Linked DNA regions of Oryzias latipes. The protein of the gene in region 2 interacts with the protein of the main gene of each other region in a biochemical or structural test. Links are inferred from orthologs where the notes say so. Each region holds a gene or a part of one and is shown on either strand. Other genes may lie near its edges.

The links. The genes of interacting proteins can lie anywhere in the genome.
Region 1: the proteins of venom prothrombin activator oscutarin-C non-catalytic subunit (region 2) and pros1 form a complex in vitro, tested with the Homo sapiens proteins (2 studies listed by BioGRID). The link is inferred for Oryzias latipes from reciprocal best matches to the Homo sapiens genes F5 and PROS1.

The regions. Positions count from the first base shown.
Region 1 is NC_019861.2:16,511,093-16,515,989, reverse strand, and holds the start of pros1 (vitamin K-dependent protein S), read left to right. Parts: upstream 1-1,448; 5' UTR 1,449-1,621; coding exon 1,622-1,700; intron 1,701-2,248; coding exon 2,249-2,406; intron 2,407-2,487; coding exon 2,488-2,512; intron 2,513-2,587; coding exon 2,588-2,671; intron 2,672-2,760; coding exon 2,761-2,883; intron 2,884-3,277; coding exon 3,278-3,403; intron 3,404-4,122; coding exon 4,123-4,251; intron 4,252-4,519; coding exon 4,520-4,760; intron 4,761-4,894; coding exon 4,895-4,897. UniProt on the Homo sapiens protein: Anticoagulant plasma protein; it is a cofactor to activated protein C in the degradation of coagulation factors Va and VIIIa. It helps to prevent coagulation and stimulating fibrinolysis.
Region 2 is NC_019879.2:11,789,951-11,794,890, forward strand, and holds the start of venom prothrombin activator oscutarin-C non-catalytic subunit, read right to left. Parts: upstream 3,201-4,940; 5' UTR 3,150-3,200; coding exon 2,989-3,149; intron 2,667-2,988; coding exon 2,584-2,666; intron 1,970-2,583; coding exon 1,847-1,969; intron 1-1,846. UniProt on the Homo sapiens protein: Central regulator of hemostasis. It serves as a critical cofactor for the prothrombinase activity of factor Xa that results in the activation of prothrombin to thrombin.

The DNA of each region.
Region 1 (4,897 bases), on a different chromosome or scaffold from region 2:
CAGTTTCCACTAAGTAAATTAAGGAAAGTCCATTTTTGTGTTAATTTCATTCATAATTAAACTGGGGCATCATGTCACTCCTCATCCCACCAAAATAAATATTTTTTTTCTCAGATTAACTGCTACATTAAAATGCCCTCATGCGTTTGCCTCACACATACAATAAATACGGACCTTGAATTAAAAAATAACATTTATTTACATGATGCTGTGCTCACTTCACTTAACGTTTATATTACAACTTCATTCATTCATTTCATTCATTCATTCATTTATTTGTTCCTTTCATGAAAATTATTGATTGTCCAATATGTTTACATGTTTGTCTTACAATATTGAACATTTTTATGATTAGATTGGAGCAGAATTGAAGAATACAATTCGTATAATTGTCTGCTCCCTTTTAAACATTGCATCATATTTACATTACTCACACCATCACCTGTGCTCAGATTTTACCATATACAGTTCAAATGAACACAGTAATTACTTTCCATTCATTTAGCAGATACATTCCAAACATTCCATTCAACAATCAAGTTTGTACAAACTAATTTGTTTTGCTTTATAAATCCGTTTAAATTGAATAATATTTTGACAACTTTTTAACTGATTCTCCTGGGAGTTCCACATTTTTACCCCTGCCATAGACAAACACTTTTGCTTTAGTGTTGTTCGAGCAATCTGTTGTTTGAGATCAAATTTTCTCCTATGATTTTCATCTCCTGTGGTCAAAATAAAAAGCTTTTCTAAGTCTTCAGGTAAATCTATGTTTCTGGCTTTAAACATAACTAATAAGGTCTGCAATTTGATTACATCTTTAAGTTTTAATAAACCTGACTTAATGAAAAGTTCATTTGTGTGATCTCTAAATTTAGCTTTGTGAATAATTCGAATAGCTCTCTTTTGTAATAGAATTAAGAGCATTATATTAGTTTCATAAGTATTTCCCCACTCTTCAATACAATATGTAAAATAAGGTAAAACTAAAGAGCAACGCAACATGTGCATAAAATGACAGGGTAAATAAATTTGGATTTGTTCAAAACAAAAAGGCTCTTGGCTACTTTATTTTTTACATTAAATATGTGAGATTTCCATGTTAATTTGTCATCAAACATAACCCCCAAAAATTTAAATTCAGACACCTGTTCTATGTTTATGTAGTCAATGGACAAAATCACTTGTTTTTTCTTTATTACCAAACACCATAAACTTTGTTTTTGTTAGATTCAAAGATAGTTTATTGTAGTCAAACCACATTTTGAGTTTTATCATTTCCATTTCAATACTTTTAGCTAAGTTGACTTCTAAATGTCTTATAACAGTGATTTCTGCAGCAATTCATTTTTAACGAATGGGGCATGTAGATTTTCCATGGTCCTCCTGTGCTGTATTGTATTTGATAAACCCATTTTCTGCATGAGTTCAGCCTCGCTGAGTAAACAAAAGCCAGAAGAGTGTGTCAGCAGCGCTCTCTAGCCGCCTTCAGTCCCGGTTCTTCCCCTCCTGCGAAAACAGTTTCGGGGGAAAAAAACAGAAAAGTTTGTTTTGGTTTTTCCTACATCGGACCTAGACTCAGCCAGTCTTCCAGCAGATATAAATTAGGAACGGCTCAGCAATGCCCGTACCACGTAGGATTCTGGGTAGAGCTTTGGCATTTTTCGTGTTGCTTGTGACGTTCGCCGATGCTCATCGATGTAAGTATGTTTGGGATTCTAAAAGTTTGCGAAAACAGCTGTCACAGTTGGATGAAATGATTAAGGCCCTATCAGGTCTCAAATGAGGTCACTTGGGAGGATTTGGCCGCCTTGTTACGGCGTGAATCAAAGCAAGATGAGGTGCTTTAGTAACAAACCGGGGGTTAACTTCTGGGAAATAACGGTTTCGCAATGAGCTCTGTTCAGGCCAATTCATCTGAGAGCAATTAGGCTGGTGGCATGAAAGCACCACCATCGTATGGAGTTAATTCAGTCTCAATAATCAGAAATGCACACAACCGGTTTTACAAATGCACACGCTCCGATTCACAAATGTCATTTTATGCAAACGTGAAAAATAAATTCGGAAATACACACCCTGTGTTTCACAAACACACAGATTGTGTTTCACAAATGCACACTAAATGTTTTACAAATGCACAATAACTCCATACCATCGAGACGAGTCTTCACATTTCAAATTGTTTTCAAAAAAAGTTTGCACAACAGTAATGTGAAGTAAGAAAGTATCTGCATGTGCATCCCAGTCCTGAGCCAAAACACAGCCTCGCAGTTCCTAAGGAGGCACAGGAGGGCCAACTCTGGGTTTGAGGAGACCAAGGCGGGCAACTTGGAAAGGGAGTGCATAGAGGAGCTATGCAACAAGGAGGAGGCCAGGGAGATCTTTGAGAACCAGCCTGAGACGGTGAAAACCTAGTTTACAAAAACCTTCAAGCTGAATCAGTGCTCCAGAGGATTGATTATAGTCTGCTGTTCTTTCTTTTAGGAATACTTCTACCCCAAATATGTTGGTATGTTGGCAAGTTCTACCAGATTTGATGATGTATCTTCTCCATAAACTCATCAAACTGGACCTTATCTTCTAGTGTGTCTGGGTTCCCACCGAGTTGGCATCAGCAATGGGAACTCGGGGTCAGACATCCCATCAAACCTTCGCACCTGTGTTAAGGGTGAGGGGCAGAATCTGAACCAAAAATCATGCTGGTTTGCTGATGTGATGCTTCCTCTTCAACCCGTTTAATTTCCTGTTTCTAACCAGAAATCAGTAACCAGTGCACCCCGTTTCCATGCTACAAGGAGGGTTCAGAGGGCTGTGTTGACGGCCAGGCTTCCTTCACATGCGTGTGTAAACCGGGCTGGAAGGGGCGGCTCTGTGAATATGGTAAATTGTGTTGCCTTTTTAATGTTGTCAAAATGAGATTCTATATGTATGGAAAGGGATTCGTGCAATAGAGGAAAAAAAAAAGGGCCAAAAAGAATTCTGAATTTTTTCTCACAATTGTAACTTTAATTTCACAATTCTGAATTTAATCTCAGAAATATAACTTTAATCTAAGAATTCTGAATTAAGTTTTAGAATTTTTACTTTAATCACAGAATTCCAATTTTCTTCAGAATTTAAACTTTTTGAGAAAAAATTAGGATTTAAAATTAAAATTAAAAAGTTAGAATTATTTTTGCCCTTTATGTTCTTTTTTCTCTCCAAGGCCCTAATCCTCTTCTGTATATGATATCCTGGCAGGAGTGCCTGACCTGCTTTTGCGTTGACTTTGCAGACATTGACGAATGTTCCGATCCAGATTTTCCAGCTGGATGCAAACACAAATGCAACAACATCCCCGGAAGTTTCTACTGCATGTGCGATGAAGGCTACTTCCTGAATGATAAAATCAACTGTGTGGGTAAGATGGCATGGAGTGGTGTAATAAATTCAGTCCCTCATTGAGGGCTCAGATAACTTAATTTTCTCAGCTGTGGAGCAAAACTGAAGACCTTTGAAACTGCGTTTCAAAGACTCGTGACAGATATTTCTGTCCGGATGATTCAGTTTTGCTCCACAGCTGAGAAAACATACTCCGATCACTGCACGCTCCAAAACACAGCCTCTGTCCCCTCAGCTGCTGACCTCCAGCAAACCTAAAATTTGACCTGAGATTACTCGTATGACAACAGAAAGTTGACAATTTCTCTTTTTTTTTTCATTAAAAGTTAATTTCTATCATTTGTAGCTGTTTGTCTGTTGGATCCGTGTCTGTATTCTCGTGCGTCCTACTTTGTGTGGGTAGATCTTTGTTTGTCTTTTAGAGTTCAGTACAAAGTCTTCAAAAACATGCACTCTGTTAGTTTGAGGAAGATGCTAGTCATTTGTCATTTTTTCATATTTCAAGGCTTGAGTTATCACAGATTTTAGGTATTTGGTATTTAAATGAAGCTATAAGTGCATCTACTTGTATTTTTTGCATTCAATTTAATTGTTTTTCTGGTTTGAATCTGTTCTGATACTACAGGTCTTCGTAAACTGTTTACTTATGTCTGATGTGCCTTTTTCCACAAAATAGCTTCATATTTGCAGTCCTAACAGAGGCCCGTTTGTACATACATTGTGTCCCTTGTGTTTCAGACATCAACGAATGTTTGTTGTATCGAAGTATCTGTGAAGAGCCAGCCAAATGCGTCAACACGCCTGGCATGTACGAGTGTCAATGTCCGCCGGGGTTTAAGTATAACTTCACCTCAAAGTCCTGCGATGGTGAGGCTCTACCAAATCCCCCAAACACACCTGAAACAAGGATGCATCCATACAATCCATTGAACGACTTCTGCACCCTTGAAACCCTGCAGACCCATTAACAAGCTCTTTGCATGACAAAATCAGTCCAGCTTGCTTCTGCTGAGAGACATGTAAATCTTGTAATGTGATCAGTGGGCTCCTTATTTCCAAATGTAATCTGCATCATCTTAACACAAGTGAAAGTTAATTGTGAATTCTTGACCCTTTGTTTTCTTGTCTGCTGCAGATGTGAATGAGTGTGAGCGCGTTTTGTGTGATGGGACATGTGTGAACACAGTAGGCAGCTACACGTGCATCTGCGATGGTCGCGCAGGATTGCGCCTGGCGGTGGATGACCGATACTGCGAGACAATTCCCATCTGCGTGGACCTGAACGACTACAAACATCCTGAGATGCTTTACCTGGGGGAGCTGTTTGCGGGTCGTCCCGTCATCTTGCTTCATTTCCGCCTACCTGAAAACACAAAGTAGGATTGCAATGTAGTTCTCTACTTTTTCACTGTGTGCATAGGGATTGGTTTTTGTTTTTTCGCATTCCACATGAGGACACACAAGCTGGTCTAAAACTAAGATCTTCTTCCTGTCTGCTCTCCCCTTCTAGGTT
Region 2 (4,940 bases):
TGTTCTGTGAGGCTGGCGAAACCTAGCCTTTTAAATGTACTACCCTCCTTGATTTGCTATCTACTGTTTGGATGAAAGTTATTTTTACCCTCTGACTGACTAAGCACATCTGATCTGACTCATGTTCAATCTGCTTCAGCAAATCAACAGCAAACAGTACACATGGTCAGAAAACAGGCGGGGTTGTGGCTCTTGAGGGTCAGAGTAGATCAGTTACGGATTAAAACATTTTATTTAAAGGTCTTCTTTCTGTCATTTGAGTGGATGTCCAAATCCTGCTAGGAAGAGGAAGCTACAAAGTACTTATTTAAAAAGAAGACTTTGTGCAGACAGTAGCAGCTAAATAGTCATAAAGTCTAAAAATGTTTTGCAAAAATAAACTGTTCCAGGAAAATCTCTAGCTTTAATTACAAAATACAGTCAGTGATGTTTGCACCATTGACTGTACTGTATGTGAGAGATGGACGAAGTGAGTGTGATGTCACCCATAGAAAATAGCTCAGTTCTGGTTTCAACAAAATAAAGTCAATTCGGTTGCCATTTTGGAGCCAAACGTTGTCAGTAAGCAGTGATTTCTCTGAGTCTGTATTAGTCATCGTTTCATGGCAACCACTCTTGCCAACCAGGAGTGAGCTAGTTGGAAGTCCACACGCCTACCACTCAAAGCAGGCTTGTGAGAATTTGTTAATCAAATGTTTTGAACATATGACCTGAGACCACATACTTTGATTGAGGCATTTGATTGGTCATTTTAAAACTTGAATAACTTGAACTACAGAAAAAAAACATGAAAAAAATTTGGATTAACAAGAACATGTTAAAAAAAAGGAGTCAGAGCAAGAATGACTATTCTGACAAATAGTAATAGCTGTTTATTTGTCTATAAAAAGTCTATGAGATCATTGCTTCTTGGAACCTGCGGGTACTTCCTGTTTGGTCTGACGGGGGGGATGGGTTACTCAGTCCATTTCTCTATACTGTCAATAGTTCACACTGATCAACTTCTTATTTTTCCTCTCTGTCCAAGATAAGTCCTTAATCCTGGCTTAACCATTTTCTGTGTTTTATGAAATGCCCCTATGGTAAGGACATGATGATTTTTTATTAAATCCAGAAAGTATGCGACCCGTACCTGGAAATATTTAGAAATACATGAAACCAAAGAACCAAAAAACAACAACAATGTCTTATTATTCTTATTTCAATGATCCCATGGTTCAATTATCTTTCTTTCTGTCAAATAAAGTCCCATTGCATTTAGAAGACAATCGACTAATCACATCTCATCAATGAAATAAAAACAAAGGTTTATAAACAATTACTCTACAAAAATCCAATATTTATTTACGTTTTTATTTAATTAAGGAGCCCTCAACTTCCAAAATCCATGAGTCACTCCTTACATACTGAGATAAATATTTTCAAAGGCTTAGCAATCCTTCCTGTTGGACTTCAGAACTTTTTGCTTTGGTGCCTTGTCTGTCCTAGTTAATCTTTTAGAGAAAGACAAACAAAGTTGTTTGCTGTAAAACGAGGAACATCATGAGTATACACACACCATGACCCTAACAGGCCGTGCTGTAGCTGTTTTAATAGTTATGCCAGAGGAATGTGTGGCTTGATTAACCCTTGTGCTATCTTAGATGACCCCACCCTTACATTGACGTGTTCTTCCTACCATGACAAAGGTGGATAAAGGTGGAAAGATTTCATGTAATCCATGGACACCAGTGAAGATCACAAATCATTGAAGAAAAACGGTTCAGCGCACTGTCTAGTGGGTCTAGATGACCCAACTCCCAATGGTAAAGTATCCAGGATGGCACAAGGGTTAAGAGCTGCCTACCTTCAGATTGTTTCCCATAATTCACGCCATGGGAGTGGAGGCTGTATGGACCATTGGCCCTGTTTCTGAAAGTGACGACAATCGTCTCTCCCTCCTCAGCTCGCAGCGTTGGTCCAAGTAAGCCTGTGGAGGAAGTTTATTTGAAAGCAACTATCCATCATGACTTATCGGTACAACCTCAAATGGACATTCCGCCATTAATATAGTTGTTGTGGTCAAATCTACAATTGTTGATCAGCCAAAAGGAATTCTATCATCTCTTCCATAGCTTTACTTTCTCTCCTAATTCTTCCCTGATATAAATGAATATTTTTAAAATGTAGCCAATGTTAGTGGTTCTTTCTTCTTTACTATTTCACTTTGCATCAACTCAGATGCAACGTAGGGACTGGATTTGGACCCAACTGGTATTTCTTCTGAATCTGAAGCATCATTATGGTGTCAAACCAATGCTTTTTGGACCCCCTAGTACACCCAATTATTTGTTCTTTGACAAACCAATGACTATACAAGTATGTCTATATCATAATTAACCTCAAATCTGAGGTTCAAATCAATATGGCATGCATGCCAGTTATGCCAGGGTCCTATAGAACAATGCAATCAACACACAGGTATAAAATGCAAACCCCAGAAGAGGTCCTCATGCATAGACATCTCCTGTAGATATGTATACATGTTTCTTTAAGAAGGAATCCAGATAAACCGAGCTAACATCAACATCAGGGAATACTAACCTAGCCATGATGGATGAGGCTTAGCTTTTCGGAAGTCTTTGTCATACTCCCGAAAGACCACTTTTTTGTAGATGGGATTAAACCTGAGGAAGAGCACAGAAACAGATATTTGCAGAATGTACTTGTACAGACACCCCACCCCCACACAATGTGTTATCCTTTTGTGCTATCATAAAAATATTTAAGAAACAGGCTGCAAATGGCAAACAAAGCAACAAAAACAGACTGTTCAGTTTTTCCCAATCGAATTGTAACCATCGTCTGATTAAAACAATTGAAAATATTTTTTCATGAATAAATGTAAACGCAGCAGAGACGTCTTTTCGTCAAATTTAAAAAAGATATAATATTCTAGCTGAGTAGTTGAAGTAAAAGATGACATGATCTATTTCAAGGTTAACTCACCTGTTTGTGCCATTGCCGGAGTAACTCCAGTCAATTTCCTCAGCAGCAATGTAGTAGTGCCTCTCCTTCGCTTGATTCTGTTCAGCTTTGACATGTAGTGCTGACACAAGAACCAGGACTGGCAGCAGATGATGAGCTCCTGCCCAGGAACAGAGCCCCATATCTGGGAACTTTTCTGACTGAGTGTGAAGCTGCGATCTGACAAAACGCTTCACTCTCTGCTTTATCTGTGACTGCTCCACACAAACCAACACACGTGGGTTAGACAGTTGTGTCCCAGGGCAATGAACTGTGCGACTGCCTTGTTTCCCTTTTATAATTAGATAGTGTGCTTTTTTTTAATTAAATGATGAATTATGCCTTCGGGTTTGGGCAAATCTCTTAAGAAATGTGGAAATGAGTAATAAAAAAAACGTATAAATTCTTTCAACCCCATAATGTCTCTGGAGAATCAATGAGAAAAACATCCCGTAATTCAAATAGTTTGTATTTCTCAATACTTCAAGATCAATGAAGGAAGAACAAACACCAGACCTCAAAGTTTTCTCAGGTAACACACATATTTAATGCATCCATGCATCCATCTATCCATCTCCTGAACACAGTGAAGTTGCTGCAGTTCTGATGTTGGAGATCAACACCAAGACTAATGTTGAAGATGAGGCAGTTAAAGTCCCACTCTGATAATCTTTAGACATATTGTTAAAGCATTCCCAGAGGTCTTTTAATTATGATTATGACGTTTTTAGCCAAAATCAAAAAACCTGTGTCGATTTCTAGGAGATACTTTCTGCGGAGCAGCAGGAGATTATCAGAAATGTGTGGGCGGTGATTGGGACTGTTGGCCTGGAGTAAGCTTTCCCTTTTTTCCCATCATGATTTGTTTACACTTTCTCCTGCTAGCTTATAATAATAACAATAAATTAATAATAATGAATGTTATTTGTACAGCGCTTTAAATGGCACACAAAAATGTTGTACAACACGTGAGTAAAACACAGTCAATAAAAACAAGAGCTAATACAATTAAACTAAAAACATAAAAATGACAGATTTAAGATTAAAAGTAATTTTTAAAAAGATTAGTTTTTAGTGATTTTTTAAACACTGGGTGTTGGGGCAGTGTTCAAGCGGGTTGGGGCAGCGATTGGCTCTGTCTCCACAGGTTTAATGTTAGGTCCAACAGTGGAGGGACGAAAGGTTTGCATCAGAGGAGCACAGGTGTATAGTTTTGAGCCAATGAGGAAAATGAAGACGAACATGGAGCTAGTCGTCTACAAGTAGATGCATCCAAATGCTGTGGATCAAGGAGCTTGTGGCCTGCTGATCTTAGCACCTATGTCACTGCTACAGGCTTATTCAAACAGCATTTTTTTTGTCTTCTCCTGATTCACAATGATTTGAATAAAGAAATATGCTGAAATGCAATTTAATCATAATTTTCTTTACCACTTTTCTGAGTATTTTTTTTTTATTCAAGTTGAGATGAATCAGGAGCAGACGAGAAAATGCTGTTTGAAAATACTCTTTTTCGTGACTCAGCAAGTGAAATGGGCAGGCCAAAGTCTCCCTGCTCCGCTCCATTCTGATGCATCCACTTGCAGACAAATTAGATACATTAACATCTTAATTTTCCTCATCTAAGCTGGCATCTGGCTCAAAACTGTACAACTGGATAACTCCAATATTGTTCACCATTTTTGTTGCACCACTAATGTTTGATTGGGATTGTGAGGCGGTGTAAGCAAGTGGGAGAGATAGTATAATAGACAAAGGGATAATGGGATGTCAGCCGAGGCTTACTTCTGTGCCAACTATCTGGCCCACAACTCAGAAGTAAATTTCTGATGAACTCCTGTCGCTCTGCAGAAACTACTGTATCTCCTAGAAAACGAAACAGGTTTTTGATTTGTGCTAAAAACGGGATAATCATAATTAAAAGACCACTGGAA